Linked DNA regions of Astyanax mexicanus. The protein of the gene in region 1 interacts with the protein of each later gene in a pairwise test. Links are inferred from orthologs where the notes say so. Each region holds a gene or a part of one and is shown in the gene's direction. Other genes may lie near its edges. The genes, in order: rbbp8 and lmo4b.

The links.
Region 2: the proteins of rbbp8 (region 1) and lmo4b interact in binary tests that used the Homo sapiens proteins (3 or more experiments, as listed by UniProt). The link is inferred for Astyanax mexicanus from reciprocal best matches to the Homo sapiens genes RBBP8 and LMO4.

Annotation. Positions count from the first base shown.
Region 1 is NC_064413.1:973,352-981,130, forward strand, and holds the start of rbbp8 (DNA endonuclease RBBP8), read left to right. Parts: upstream 1-4,683; 5' UTR 4,684-4,772; intron 4,773-5,861; 5' UTR 5,862-5,919; coding exon 5,920-6,019; intron 6,020-6,529; coding exon 6,530-6,572; intron 6,573-7,071; coding exon 7,072-7,167; intron 7,168-7,779. Other genes in the region: N-acetyltransferase ESCO1, read right to left, coding at 1-1,994. UniProt on the Homo sapiens protein: Endonuclease that cooperates with the MRE11-RAD50-NBN (MRN) complex in DNA-end resection, the first step of double-strand break (DSB) repair through the homologous recombination (HR) pathway.
Region 2 is NC_064412.1:49,901,584-49,909,803, forward strand, and holds the start of lmo4b (LIM domain transcription factor LMO4b), read left to right. Parts: upstream 1-4,913; 5' UTR 4,914-5,431; intron 5,432-8,220. UniProt on the Homo sapiens protein: Transcription cofactor. Plays a role in establishing motor neuron identity, in concert with MNX1, acting, at least in part, to disrupt LDB1-LHX3 complexes thereby negatively modulating interneuron genes in motor neurons.

The DNA of each region.
Region 1 (7,779 bases):
CGTAAACTCATTTTGGGCAGAGTCTCTGGAGCTGGAGGTACAATCTGTGGAGCAGCAGGAGGCGGCGGTGGAGGAGGAGGAGTTTGAGGAGGTGGATGTTGTTGGACAGGGGTGATGGATGCAGACGACGAGTCGGGCAACACAGACTGCGTGGAATCGTTTGCAAGCTCCTGATTGGCCTGATCAGACTTGAGCTTCTTCACACGCGTCCACGTCAGCTTGTCCCTCTGCAGCTCCACCTGCCTGAGTCTCTGGAAACGCGACAGCTTCTTCTTCTCCTGGGTTTTGAGAGGAACGGACACCTGGCTGAGGAAGAAGCGCTTCTTGGGTGTGTTTTCTTGCACCTTAGGCTCGGATGTTTCCTCGGCGTGGGTTGCAGTGGAAGGCAGGTCACTGGAAACAGTGGGAACTGGTGCATCCTCCACTTCATCACTTTTGCTTTGGGTGATCTCTTCAGATTGAGATTGAGCACTTTTCTTGTTCTTCTTTTCTTCTTCTTCTCCTTCTACTACTACTTTTTCTACTCTTTCTACTGCATCTTCTTCTGAAGCTAATGCTGCTGTTGTTGCTGCTGTTGTAGTTATTGTAGGTGTTGCAGTTTTTGCTGGTGCATCCGATGCGATATCATCTGCAATTTCCTCACACAGAGCTAAGAGGTTGAGCTGCTTGGGGGGCTGCCTCTTAGCAGCAGCTGCTCTCTCCTCAGCCAGAGCTGCTAATCGGGCCTTGGTTCTGGCCTGAGGATTCATCGCTTGCTTCTTTGGAGGTTCAGCGCTGGCCTGTGCAACAGAACCCGGTGTGGAGGAGTCCTTAGCGCCATCCTGTGGCAGAGATGGAGTCGAGGTGCTCTCTTTGCACACGACAGCTTTGCTGGTTTCTTTTAGAGCTAATGCCTCCTGCAAATCCTGCAACTGCTGCAAGTCCTGCGAAGGCAGCGCATTGCAATTCTCTGATGAGGCACCAAGGTTCCCGCCAACTACTTCCTCCACAGTTTCAATCTCAACCACGCAGTGTTCAATCTCAATATCGTCCAGATTCAGAAAGGTTTCTGAGGTCAGAGATCCTTCGGAAGCAGCAGACAGTTCTGTATCTTGGGCAGTATCCTGTACAGTAGTATCCTGTACAGTAGTATCCTGTACAGTAGTATCCTGTACAGTAGTATCCTGTACAGAAGCATCCTGTACAGAACACGTATTAACCACCTCGACCTCGTCGGACACATCTTTACCATTGAAGCTGGTCTCCTGAATAACTTTAAAAAGGGCTTGCAGAGGTGGCGGGGACTTTCTCATCACACTCACCTTAGCATCTAAAGTTACAGTGATTTTCTCGATAGGATCAGGCGGGAGTTCTTTATGCTCATTAAGCGGTATCTTGCTCAGCGTTTTAGCACCAGAGGCTCGGAGAGGGTCTTGGTCTGTGACGTCGATGATGTCCACCACGCTGTTTTTCTCCGGCATCGTCGTCTCTTCGCTTTGTATATCAGGAGGTCTACCGTAGTTGTGCTCCGTTCGCACAGGATCCACAGCTGCCGACACCGTGCTAACGGTTTCAGACGAGGGAGATGAGCATTTACCTTTCTTTGCTCTTCCAGCGTACTTCCTACTTCCTTTTTTCAGAACAGGCTCACTCTGACACACTTTCTCTCCAGGTATCTCTGAAGCTTTACTCCCACCTTTAGAGCCCAGCTCTTTTGGTGCAGCAGATGCATTCGATGCCTTCCGCTTTTTCCTACCAGTCAGTTTTTTAGGGGCTATCTTCAGCCTGGAGGAGCGACGCGGCTGCTTTTCCTTCTCGTCCTTCAGATGAGCTTTAGACGTCTTGCTGGACTGAGCTGAACCTTTCCTCTGCGAGACTCCAGCCCTCAAGGACCTCTTGGTCGTCGTCTGAGATGTTTGACCGTGTTTATCGGACGCTGCCGGACTCTGATCCACCTTTTTCTTCTTCACTTGAGGTTCAGCTTGAGCTGGCATCTTTCTTTTGGGACCGAGCATACTAAAGAAAAAAGAACACATAAATGGATAAATAATAAATACGAAGTAAACGCTGGTACAAGCAAGTATGTATAAGCATTCATAAAAATGTTAAAGCCTAGACACTGTCTACATGTTTATATAGAGAGCGGGTTTAAAAGGCTTGTGATGAAAGACATAAATAAGTGGAATACAAGTTAAGGTGTTTAAGTACATACAATTAAAAAACATAGCTTTCAACACAGTTTGTAAAGCCTAAAAATAATACAGTCATGTGCCCACAGCTAGAAAAAAACACGAATAAGCTGCTCACTCATTTTATCTGATTTAATTATGAATTTGGTATCAATGTTCCAAAGCAGAACATTTACTAGGAAGAATTACAGTGTAGATATGGGCATCAATTTCAGAGATAAATTTCTACTAGTAAGTATATATCTGTAACTGAAGTATTACTACTAAAAATGTAATTATAGTAAAGAGAAAGGTAAACTAACATAGGTAAGAACTGCATTACAGAGCAGTTAGGTAATCTAGATACTGTTTGAATGGTTGGAGTGATTTAATCTAATTTAATTAGATTAAATAATAGATTAAAGAAGAAACATAGGAAGAATTACAGTGTAGATATATCTGAATCTGCAATTTCTACTAGTAACAGAATAAATGTAGATATATTTAACTGGAGTTTTTACTAGTAAAATGTAATTATAGTTAAGAGAAAGGTAACCTAACGTAGGACTAGTCAGAATTACATCAATGATATGTGATCCTGGTGATTTTATGACTATTTTAAATTTGGGTGAAATGTTGTCCGTCGTTTATACAATGAAAAACTATGTTTATTTCATTCAAATATATACCTATACGTAGTTAAATCAGAGAAACTGATTATTTTGATGTGGTCTAATAATTGTTTTCCAGAGCTGTATATACAGGTGATACAGCTGATAACTGAAATTAAAGTCTCTGCTGGTAAGATCTGCATAACAAAGCTCTGTACTTTGTGTTTTACTGCTAAACTCTTGGGGTGATTTTAGTCTAAATCGGCTAATTTTAGGTATAATATACTGTTTATAAAGGTAAATAGAGGCTTACTTCAGTTGGGAAAGCTGTATTTCCTTTCCTTTATAAAGTGTTTTCCTCCAGTCGGTCTCCTGCCCGAATCAGATGCGGTATTTTCGGTGTTTTTGTTTTTTTTTGGCTGTTTTTTGGGGTGTTTTTGGGTCTGAGGCGGCGGAATGTCGAGGCAGTGAAAATGTAGTTAGCTTAGCTAAGCGGCTAACCCACAAAAACCTCCTGAAACGCGGCTTTTCAGCCCGAACTGCTGCTTATAAATCATACCGGCGGATCTGTATCCCCTCTACACCAGAGTACAGCCCCGCGGAGCGGCGCAGGCGGGCTAAATCTGCGGTAAAGTGCGGTAAAGCTTCTGTAAAACAGCTGTTCTGCGCTGCGATAAGTTTACCTTCTCTTCCGGCGCCCCAGTTTTCTTCGACATCTGTGGCGAGTCAGACTCACCGATACCGCCCCCCAGCGGTGAGAGCGCTCACTGCAGCAGCGGCTCCCCTCCTTCAGCCTCAGTACTTTTCCACTGTTTATTATGTTATAGTATGTTATAGGAAAAATTAAGAGACCACTTCAGTTTCTTACGGATCCTCTGAAATGACATGGTGTTTTTTTACGTTAAAAATGGTAAGCACCCGATACTAAGTGGTGAGCACCACATACTAAGTGGTGAGCACCAGATACTAAAGCCCAATATATACTTTTGAGTCGAACCTACGATGTAGCCTACATATCCCGCAAAACTGTGCTATGTAGCAGAGCGCGTTTATACTTCTGCGTGCGCGTGCAGTTAGAACCGGCGGACCAATCACAGCGACCGTACGTGTAGCACCGCGCATAATTACATTTACAGAGAGTTGCACTCAAGCCATGGCGTGGGGTATGTGGCGACGCAAAGGCTCTGGCAGAGGTTTGACGCAGAAGTAGAAATTGGCCTTAAGTGGTGAGCACAACATACTAAGTAGTGAGCACCAGACACTAAGTGATAAGCACCACATACTAAGTGGTGAGCACCACATACTAAGTAAAACAAAAAATAAATACTAAATATACACATACTAAAAAAAGTTACACCTTGTCCCTTCAGGCCAGGGGCTCCGTAGATTTCTGAATCAGTTTCTCTGATTTTGCAATTTATAGGTTTATGTTTGAGTAAAACAAACATTGTTGTTTTATTCTATAAACTACAGACAACATTTCTCCCAAATAAATAAACATATTCTAGTCATTTAGAGCATTTATTTGCAGAAAATGAGAAATGGCTGAAATAACAAAAAAAATGCAGAGCTTTCAGACCTCAAATAATGCAAAGAAAACAAGTTCATATTCGTAAAGTTTTAAGGCATCATGTTCTCCTCCTCCACCAGTCTTACACACTGCTTTTGGATAACTTTATGCTGCTTTACTCCTGGTGCGAAAATTCAAGCAGTTCAGTTTGGTGGTTTGATGGTTTGTGATCATCCATCTTCCTCTTGATTGTATTCCAGAGGTTTTTAATTTGGTAAAATCAAAGAAACTCATCATTTTTAAGTGCTCTCTTATTTTTTTTTTTCAGAGCTGTATATAAATGTTTTTGTGGGTTTAGTTTATTTTATTGTTCTGATGTTTTTGTACTGGTTTGCCTGCAGGGTGAAGTGTTTCCGTCCGGCCGCTGGGGGCGCTGTTCTGCTGCCGGGTCAGACGGGCTTCAGGTCTGGCGGGCTGTTCGTTTGTGTGTTTGGGAACAGCTGGGTAAGAATTTAACGTTTTCCTGCTGTTTTTAGGATTTATGTGTAAAATTATGTGTGTTTTAGACTCAAGCAGATATAGGTAAGACTCTGTTACGCGTGTTATTTAGGTTAGCCCGCAGGTTCTGTTTAAAAACGTGCGTAAAGTCTGTCTTTTTGTTTGTTTGGGTTGTTGGTTTTAATGCAGTTTCGGATTTATGAATCGTTTTTACGAGATAAACACACACAAACACGTAACTACGTTAGTATTTATTAGTGGAAAACACATAGGGTTTTTAGTGAGCTTCGACTTTCCGAGTTATAGCTAAAATAACTGTGTTTTTAAACTGTCTGTAGCTGTAGTTTTAGACTTTATACAGATAGCTAAGCTAAATAGCTAAGCTTATGTTTGTAAACCTAGTTAAGCTAACTAGCTAAATAACTAGCTCGTTACAGTGGAATTAAAAACAGTTTCCCTTATAAATCATTGGTTGTTTTCAGTTCAGCAATTGTGTTTAAATATATAATATAGCAGAGAAACGCAGTGATATTTGAGAAGTAAAATTAAGTTTATAGGATTTACAGAAAGTCTGCAATTATTATTTAATCTAATCAGACAGGTGAATAAATTTGGGCACCAACAGAAGAAATACATTAATATTTAGTAGATCTTGCTTTTGCAGAAATAAAATAACAGCCTCTAAATGCTTCATAAAGCTTCCAATGAGAGTCTTGTTGAAGCGTCTGGTTGAAGGTATTTTGGACCATTCTTCTTTACAGAGCATTTCTAGTTTAGTCAGGATTTTATTTGCAGGATTTCATCAAAAGAACATGTGTGGAGGTGGTTTGTTGTCAAGGTGGCCGCATATAGGATATGATTAAAAAAAGATGTATTTGGAGCATATTATGTATATTGATTTTTTTTGTTGCATTTTTTTGTATTTACTTTCTATGTTAATGTTGTTTTCAACCAAAATCACCTAATGTAAAGCTCCAAGTTAAAATAAGTATGAACTTAAAACTATAAAATTTAACAGAAACATTATTAATATTCATATCTCACGTTCAGATTTTTTCACACCGGTTAATTTAACTGCTATTTCTGTCTCAACAGAGAGTGTGCATGTTGGCTGTTCGGCATGTGATGAGGTAGCTTGGTGGACTAAACGACAATGACCAGTCCTCAGTTCAGTGGCACCTCTGGCAATAATGAAGAGCTCTTTCAGGATCTACTGAGCCGCCTCAGGGAGTGCCATGATACTGTAGTACAAGGTACTGTCTCTGGAGAGCTTGCACAACAATTTACATTTTAATAGCGTTAATACTACAGTAATGCTGGGCAGCAGTGATTATGTTCCTATATTAAACAATAAATGTAAAAACAAATTTCTCAGCAGAAACTGTTCATTTGATTGTTTGTATACAGTTGGTTAAAAGCTAAATGTGTTTTAATTGGTTAATTTGTTTGAACCTAGTAAGTGAGTCAGTGGTAGTACTATACTAAAACTAGCAGCTGCCACTAAAAGCTGAACTTTGCAGCAAATTGTCATGCACCGCAGAGTGCACACAGATTCATGCAATCTGGTCAGTTTGAGGTGTCTGTGAGCTGGTGTATCACTGCGCTACTCGACAATGCTAAATAAATACATATATTTTCCAAATGTAGACATAAAAGCATCTCAGGGTTTTACTAACACACAGCCTGTCAGTGTTACATATGTAAAAAAAATAGCAGTATCTGACACTTCTGGATTTTAAGAGACTCCAAATGTTTTTTTGTAGGTCTGCAGTCAAAGGTGACCAAGCTGAAGAAGGAGCGTTGTCTGTAAGTAGAGTTTTTGGCCCTTTCTTGTTTACTGTGTTTTAAGCTGTTTTAACCCTTTCAGACCTGTTTTAACTACAGTGATGTTTTTTTACTATAAAATCTATATAGCAAATTAATCTATACAGCGAATTAACAAAATTATTTAATAATTGATTTTTATTTTCATTACATTGGAAGTTTGTGTGTATTTTTTTTTTATTTCACATTGACCTTTTTACTTCATAAACCATTCTTAAACAGTAAAATTAAAATTAAACATTAAAAATGTTCTAAATTACATTAGTAAAAATTAGCTCTTACTTTGCCTCAATGGCTTTAGTGCTACTGTTCTTTTTTCAGTACAGAGGGCAGACAGTGTTCAAACTGTGTTAATAGTCTTATGTGTAAAAATAAAGAAAATACAAGATGTCCATTGTAATGAATGCAGGGTCTGAAAGGGTTAAAGCAGTACCTGCAGTGTTCTGTCAGTGATATTTGTGCTGCTTGTTTTCTTTATAAGCGACGCACAAAAACTGGAGGAATTCTACAATAAAAATCAGCAGCTACGAGAGCAGCAGAAAGCCCTGCAGGAATCTATCAGACTCCTCAAAGAGAGGTATTTCTCTTTACTTCTCTAGGATTGAATATTCCCAGATGTAAACTTCATTTATCATGTATTATACTTTATGCATGTAACTTAATTACAGAAAAAGCCTTAAATCAAAATGATTATGCAAATTAGTTCACATGGATTTGTCTAATAATAATAATCTATGAATAAACTATTGTAAAATTTTCATGTCCTGAAGTGTAAAATTAAAACTTCATAAACAACTATTCAGATACTGATTTGAATTATGCTGCACAGTGTCAATTTTATATATTATTTAGTATTTAAAGAGTGCCTGGAAGTGTCTTATTTTATTTATATATTAAAGCATTTATATATTTCGCTTTAATAATATGTAGTGATTAAATAAAGTCTATATATCGTCCTCACCTGATCCGCTATAAATTCATGATTAGAATTTAATAGAATGCAAACTGACCAAAATGCATTTATTTCTTTATTTTTTTTACAGTGAGTAATAAAAAGTAATAAAAATAATAATTCATATTTAATTATGGGAAGATGGACAACATATTCTGCTATGTCTAACTGACACTGATACGCATGTAACCGTTCGTATTCACCAGTAGTTACTATATTATTACATGGATTGTTAAT
Region 2 (8,220 bases), on another chromosome or scaffold:
ATTGTTCCAGCCGGAGAGAATGGCGCCTAATCCTGGATGGAACAGAGTTCCCCTTCCAGCAGGGAAATCAGACCGCGCTCCGCAATCAACCACGACCACTCACAATTAAACCATTAAGACGGCCTACCGGAGACTCTTTACACACTGTACGTCTTATTAATGAATCCAGAGGCAACTCATAATTGCGCCCGAACTGATTAACTGCCCACTGAAACCCCGTCTCAGAGTGCCATGACACTTTTCACCTTCTGAACTACTCAAACAAACATTTCAGCACAATTCAACTTACAGAGTTACAGAGCCAACCACTGAAGTCCGAACCAAAGTCTGAACTCAGATTCATGCGTTTGTATACAGTACACAGTATACAGTATAGAGTTAATTATCAGAATACTCTCCCAGATGGCATGAAGAAACGGCCTGAGCTCGACTTTTGTATACTGCAAAAATCTAAAAAAATAAATATTAGGAAGTAAAATTATTAAATTTCAATGCAATAAATCTTATTCATCTTTTTTCTCTGATAAGAGTTTTTGTCTTACTAATCATTGTATAGATTGAATAGTAAGTGTAAGATTATTCAGCTTATTTTAGGAATAATGATCTTAATCAGACTCACAAAACAGAGGTACAAAAGGAGTACTTTTTTGTACTCAAAAGTACACTCTTCATAATTGTACCCTCAAAGGTACAATATTGGTCTTAACAGGGTCAGATTTGTGCCCTCTGAAGTAGAAAGTAATTCCTAACAGCAATAAGTACAAATTTGTACCATTTAACCAGGCAAAAGGTACATTCAGTATACTGTACCACTTTACTAATAAACAATATATATTTTATTTTCACATTTTTTTATTTGAAAGCCAGACAATTTTGCATCATGAAGTTCTTGACACATATTTAGTTGATGATAATGTTTATAATCTTTATAATCTTTACTGGCACAAAAAACATGGGAACAAAAAAAGACTTTCACTGAAAGGTACTTTTTCGTACCTTAATATAAGGTACAGCCCCAGCGACAAGCTTTTCACTCTTTTAAGTACAAATCTGTACTTACTTTTCTTAGTGTGTATTTTAAGTAGTTTAAACTTAAAATAAGCACAAACAAAGTCACCAGTCAAGTTATTCTGTTTCTTGTATCCAAATATAGGCCAAAAAAGTGTGATATTTTCTTGATTCAGGTGTTACTTCATTTATTTTGACACTTTGCTTGATTGCTTGTTATAATAAATCTAACTAAGAAAAATTAGCTTACCCCATTGGCAGTTTTTTTTTTTTGCTTAACATAGTTTTTGCCAATGGATTTTTTGCAGTGTATCATCGACTATTGGCATCGTCTATGTGGAATTGAGATGATGGCACTTGCAGCTCAGGCCAAATGTGGTTTACACTTGCGAACCAGGATGTTGGCAAAAGTGAAATGGGAGGATTCTCATATTATACTCTGCAACAGGGGCGTCGCCTGCCCTGGGCTTCCGGGCTATGGTTTTAAGTAAGCAACAGTAAAAGGTAACTATATTATTGCTAATATAAATTAGAAGTAAATTACATTGTTAAATAAAATGCTGGGAAAACTGGGGAAACTCTATGCAAAAGTGAAAGCTAGTGATGTTTTTTAAATGTTTTTAGAGTTTGTCATTTTCGTTTTCTGCCACATGCAGTTTTTTCATCTTGTTTCTAAGTTTTTTAATAAGACGGCAACAATCAACCATGCTGAATTACAGCACACTTTTAAATCCATCAAATATAAAAAAACTACATATTATGCAGGATGCTTAAAAAATATATGTAAAAAAATCTTATAATTGGCTGAGCTGAGCCCCGGGTCTTTAGCTGCCCATGCAACGCCCCTGCTCTGCAACCAGAGTGGTGGCACATACGGCTCAGGCTGATTGTCGTATTGTACTCAACAACCGAAGACTTGCCCCAGGCAGTTTAGGCTACTTATCATTGTCACACAACTTAGCCTGTGTCTGTCTTGTGTTTTTTCCTCTTTTGGTTCGATGTGCTTCTGCCCTCTGTTTTCCTGTCTTGTGTTCCCAGCCATGTGCTTTTTTAAGCACATGGCCATGTTGTGTTATTGTCCTGTCTTCGCCCTAGCCTTTCCCTAGCCATTAGTGTTGCCACCTTGTGTCTTGTTTGTAACCCCGCCCCCTCGTTTACTGGTTCCAGGTGTTCCTTACCCTCCTAGTGCATTTAAGCCCCTTTGTCTTAGTGTTTTTTGCTGTACTTGTATGTATGCGTCAGGTTTGTTTTTGATTTGAGTATTATTGTTTTCTAAGTTTTGATTAGTTTTTGTTCTGGTCTTAGTTATTTAGTTTCCCAGTTTAGATACCTGTTTTGTGTATCTTGCATTACTGGTGTTTGTTTTGTGTTTTGCTTTTGTTTAACTTTCCTGTGTGACAGTTATATTATACTCAACAACCGGGGTGATGGACTAAGTGATTTGAGCCAATTCCCATATTATACTCGACAACTGACGAACTGGAAAAAAGTGGACTCTTTAACCGAAGAGGTGTGGCTTGAGTCGATTGTCGTACTATACTCTACAACCAGAGAGTTCGCATTTGCGGCTCAGGTGAGCCCAGATGTGAGCCGAGCATTTGGGCCAGAATAGAGCCCAGATTCAAATTCGGATCTCTGCCAGTGCAACTCGTGCTCAGTGTGTGGTTTTTGTTATCAAGGGTGTCTTCTAGCCTTCAAAACACACAAATAATAAAGTAAGATTTTAATTTGCTACACTATAATCATAATTAAAAGGCAACACAGAAATCTCATTTTTTATAGCTCAACCACTTTTTATTTCCCGCAATGCATGCGCCCAAGGTGGACAATAACAGGGTGGATTATTATTATTATTTTTTTTATTTTTTATTATTTAATGAAAACATGGTTGATTTACAGTTGAAGACATGTTAAATTGTATACAGTAGCCTTGTATCTGTTTCAAAGACACATTTTAATTTTCTAAAATTCGTTTGATTTATATATGTCTAGTCAGAATGAATTAATAGAACTATTATTATTACTATTGATGATTTATTGACATAGCTGATGCCTGAAAAGGGATTCTAGCAGTAAAAACTACTCTAATGAAGAATAAGGAATCTTAATGAAGAGATCTTGTATTTGTTGAGTTCATTATTTACATTTTAAATATATATATATATATATATATATATATATATATATATATATATATATATATATATATATATTTTTTTTTTTTTTTTTTTTTTTCTGTTGGTGTTCTGTTGCAGTTTTGTTGCAGTTCTACAGAATTCTCTTCATTATGCTATAGTGACAACACCTTTATTTTCTAGTAGGTTCTTCTCTTCACCTCCTGCTATAGGAATATAAGCTTCCATTGCCCCTTAGACTAATGTAGTCCCCAAACTTTACACCAGCAGAGATGAGTAATCAATTATCAGCATTAAATATTGACGTTTAATGTATTCAGTTGTGTTTTTAGTGGTATAGTTCCATTTATGTCCAGATGATGGCGCCACTGTGTAAGAGCAGGTGCTGAAAAATGGCTTTGTGTTGGACAGTCAGTCACAGCAGCATCAAACTCACAGCCTGAAAAGTTCCTGTGCTCTCAGCTACATCTACAGCTACCAAAATATATATATATATATATATATATATATATATATATATATATATATATATATATATATATATATATATATATATATATATATATATATATATATATATATGCAGGTCAGCAGTGTTGCTCTGATATAGGGGTTGGTTGTGAAGGTGTTGCTGCTACATATGGTTAAATGTTGGAAAGCAACTTTATTTGGCTAATGGAACTGTATCCAAAACATGAAAATATGGTAGATGGTGCAACGCATATATTTGATAAATACAGCAGTGCCTACAAACATTAAGCTAAATGTTTTAGTCCCAAAACATTTAAATATATTTGGCTTAGTCTTCAAACATTTTGCTAAATGTTTGTCAAAAAAAAAACTTCTAAAAAAATTTCTAATAGGGCTGTGCCTGAAAATGTTTGGCTAAATGTTGGTATCCAGGAATATTACAAAAACGCTTGTCTAATAGAGCTTTGTCTAAAAACATTTGGCTAAATGTTTATATCCAAGTACATTGCAAAAATACTTGTCTAACAGCGCTTTGTCTAAAAATGTTTTGCTATATGTTGGTATCCAAGAACATTGTAAAAATACTTGTCTTAACTGATCAGTGTGTCTAAAAACGTTTGGCTAAATGTTCAAGTCCAAAAATATAGGGAGTTCAGAAACATGTGGTGGAATGCAACTCCACCAAATTCCATGGAATCCACACACATTTAGCTAACTGTTTTAACCCAAACACATTTAAATACATTTTGGCTAATTGTAGTAAGGTTTCAAACATTTGGCTAAATGTTTCAACAAAAAAAAAAAAAAAAAAAAAAAAACATTTAAAATAATTTGGCTAATAGTAGTAAGTCTTCAGACATTTGGCTAAATGTTTTGACCCAAAACATTTAAATACATGTGGCTATTAGTAGTTAGTCTTCAAACATTTGGCTGAACGTTGGAGTCCAAAAATATTGCAAAAAGTTTTGTCCAATAGAACAGTGTACAGAAACTTCTGGTTAAATGTTGGGAGTCCAAAAACGTTTGGTTAAATGTTGGAACGCAATACATCTATGTATCAGAGCTGTGTCTACAAAGGTTTGATTAAACGATGGAAAATATAAAAGTAGAAAAATTAAACTGCAGCTCACCTCCTTCACTCAGAACTCAATGTGCTGTATTGCGCTGCTCTGATTGGCCGGATTTGTTCATCCCCCGGAACGGAGCTCCGCACGATTGGCTGCTACAGATTGACGTGCTGCAATGTGGGCGGAGCCTGTGTGTTTTTTTATTATTTGTATTTTTTCTCAGTCACTGACACATGTAGAGCAGCGCAGCGAGCAGCGCGGAGAGAGAGAGACAGAGACAGAGACACGAGGAGCAGCGGCGGAGATTACGAGCCTCACACCGCGTTTCAGAGCTCTCACACCGGCCACAGCCTGAGGGAAATTACCGAGAGCTGAACGAGAGACCGAGCTGAGCGAGAGTACGAGCGGTGTCGGGTTCGGGAGAGACAGGGAGACGGCGGGAGGAGGCGAGGGACGGGTCGGAACCGGTGGAAATATAATCTGTAAACTCCATTTGCTGAAGCGGATCCGGAGCTGAGCAGCGCTGTAGCTGATTCTCCAGCCCGCCAGAGAGCTCACCACTGCCCGGATACCTCCTCATGCAGAGCCGCTGAGCTTTATGGACGATTTGTTTTGGTGTTTTTTGAAATATTTTGTTAATTTGACATTTTTTACCAGTTTTTGAACTGTTTCTTGACCCCCCACGGGACACAGAAAGAAAGCTACAGTCATTTAGACGCTTGAAAACGAATTTACTCGGCTGTAAAAGAGGTGAGTTCGGGTTTTTAATGGTGTAAAACTAGTCCAACTTTTAAACTTACACCCTTTTTAACTTAGAAAAATCTACATCTTACTATTGTCAGAATAATGTAATGCTTATATTTGTTTATTAAGCTTTTATTAAGGGTGGTTTACTTCCTCAGGTACAGCTGCATAGCTAACCTAGTAAACGTGCGCATTAATTAGGAATAAGCTCATTACAATAAGGATGCACGATACTGAAGAAAAAAAAAGGTGCATTGCGATATTTTTTCCTGCGATATATATCACGATATGAATTTTTTTTTTGAAAAATAAATAAATAAATAAAATCTAAAAAATTAACGATCCAACATGTCACAATATTGATAATCTAATAATGCTCTGTGTATTGAAGATTTGAGTGAAATCAATATTGATGTAATCTACTTTTGATAACTAATAGTTTGTTATAGATATGTCATTTAAAATATCTTTTTTGTATCAAACAGCAAAAAAAAGGATGCAGAAGTTATGTGAATATGTGTATGATATATTGTGTAGCCCTAGTTTAAATAGCATGGCAAAGACTGCAATAATGTCAACTAATATTCACAAAAAGTCAAGTCTGTCACTTGTTTTATCATACAATATATGTTTTTATACAGTATTTTGTACAAAATATAGTTCAATAGTTGTGCTGTTAGTAACACATTTTAAAACGTCCATCCAAATACCCTCCTATACACACAGCACTTTAAAATGATTTGTTTTAATCAAATGTTGCTACATACTTTTCATGTTAAACCACAGTACAGTAATTACACACTCTGTAATGCATGTAAAAAAAAGTACACACAGTTTAACTATAGCTCTAGAATTGCACTTTTTTTAATGTCAAAGGTATACTACTGTAATGAACAGGTATTACTTATAATAAGGTTTATAAGAAATATAAGATAAGATCATCCTTTATTAATCCAAACCACAGTGGGGGAATTGGTGTATTGCAATATTACAGCAGTGTAGAGGACAGAACAGATGGAAAATATGTTCAAAAATATACTAGACATTAGTATTACTCGTGCACATGATGACATAGACTAGTTAACAGATTAAACAGATTGTGCTACACATGGTGAATCAATGGGATACTATTATAGGATGTTGCATATATAGTAAACAGTATGCAGTTATCCTGCACCTGGTTGGACAGTGATAAAAATAAAGCGTTAATAGTAAATAGTAAAGAGCTGTATTGAAAAACCTTATAGAACTGGAGGAAACATTGTCCCCCATAGTGTATATGTTGTGTTAAACAGTAAACAGTGATGAATAAGCAAATTATTAAAAGCAAAAAATAAGTAAATAAGTTATAATATCTCTCTTAATGAAATTGAACAAAGTGAATAGAGTGTGCTACACATGGTGAATGGGGAGATATAGCATATAGTAAACAGTACACAGTTCTACAACAAATGGATGGACAGTGAGTAAATAGTACATAGTAAAACTTTATGTTGTACGTAGATGTAGATTAGAGAAAACATGTTTTCCCAGTATATAGTTTGTGCTGTTGTAGACAGTGCTCATTTATAATTGACTTAAGTTAACAATAAATAAATAGCAGATTAACATTAAAAAGATGTGATATTGGACATAGCATGCATAGTAAACAGAGTGACCAGATAGTGAGTGCTGCACATGGTGAACAGTACACAGTTATACAGCACCTGATTGGACAGTGATAGAAGTATTGTACATAAGTAAACAGTAAGTGTTTAGTGTTATTTTACAAAATGACATAGAAAACAGAGTGAACAGAGTGTGCTACACGTGTTGAATGGGACTATTATGGGATATTGCACATATAGTAAACAGCACACAGCACATGATCTTACTTTAATAGCAAAAAAATGTGATTTAATAGCAAATTACCAATAAATATGTAATATGAGTACTATGTATTATGATCATATAGTTCTAAACATGGTAGTACAAGTAGCCTGGGGGGATATTATGGATATTGAACATTAAACAGTAAACAGTTATGTTTAACAGCACATGGTTAGTGCTGTGATAGTGATGCTTAGTGTTATTTAAGTTATATTGTAGGAGTATAATATATTCATATATATTTATCAGAAATTATTCAATTTAGTCAGCTGAATGAAAGCAGTGTCTGTTATTTATACAGATGTTTAACATCAGAGAGGTCTGCGGTCACCATGCCGCTTATCTTCTCTGGCGAACGCTATATTTCGTGCTCGAGCTGCACGGCCGTGTAATTGCTTGAGTTAGCCCATTTAAGTTAAAAGCCTCCCCCCTTCCTCCTCCTCCTCATCCTCTTCCTCACCCACCTTCAAATCTCCCCTTCCTCTGTAGCCGGAATGAAACTTGACGATGGTCCGATCTTATTTATCAGGAGCAGTCCCTTTCTGTCCGGCCCCTCTGATTCATCTGCTTTTAGATTTAATCAGCACTAAGGTATTGCTTGTCCCTAAGAGCCTCCACTAATGGGGTTTATACTGAATGCCTCTCTCAGTGCAACGTTTTTCTACCCCTCCTCCTCCTCCTCTTCCCTCCTTCCTCCTCCTCCTCCTCCTCCTCCTCTAATTACCTTTCAACACAGATTTGGCTTAGCCCGCCATGAAGGCAGGCCTGACCAAATTGGAAAGGATTAAAAATTAAAATATATTAACTTAGTTGAAGGGCGGAACTGAGAAAGATGCATCTGTCGAATGCGAATAGATGACAAGATACACAGTCAACGTTCCTTAACATGTGTTCTTAAGTGTTTTAGCGTCCTTGTGTTCCTACCT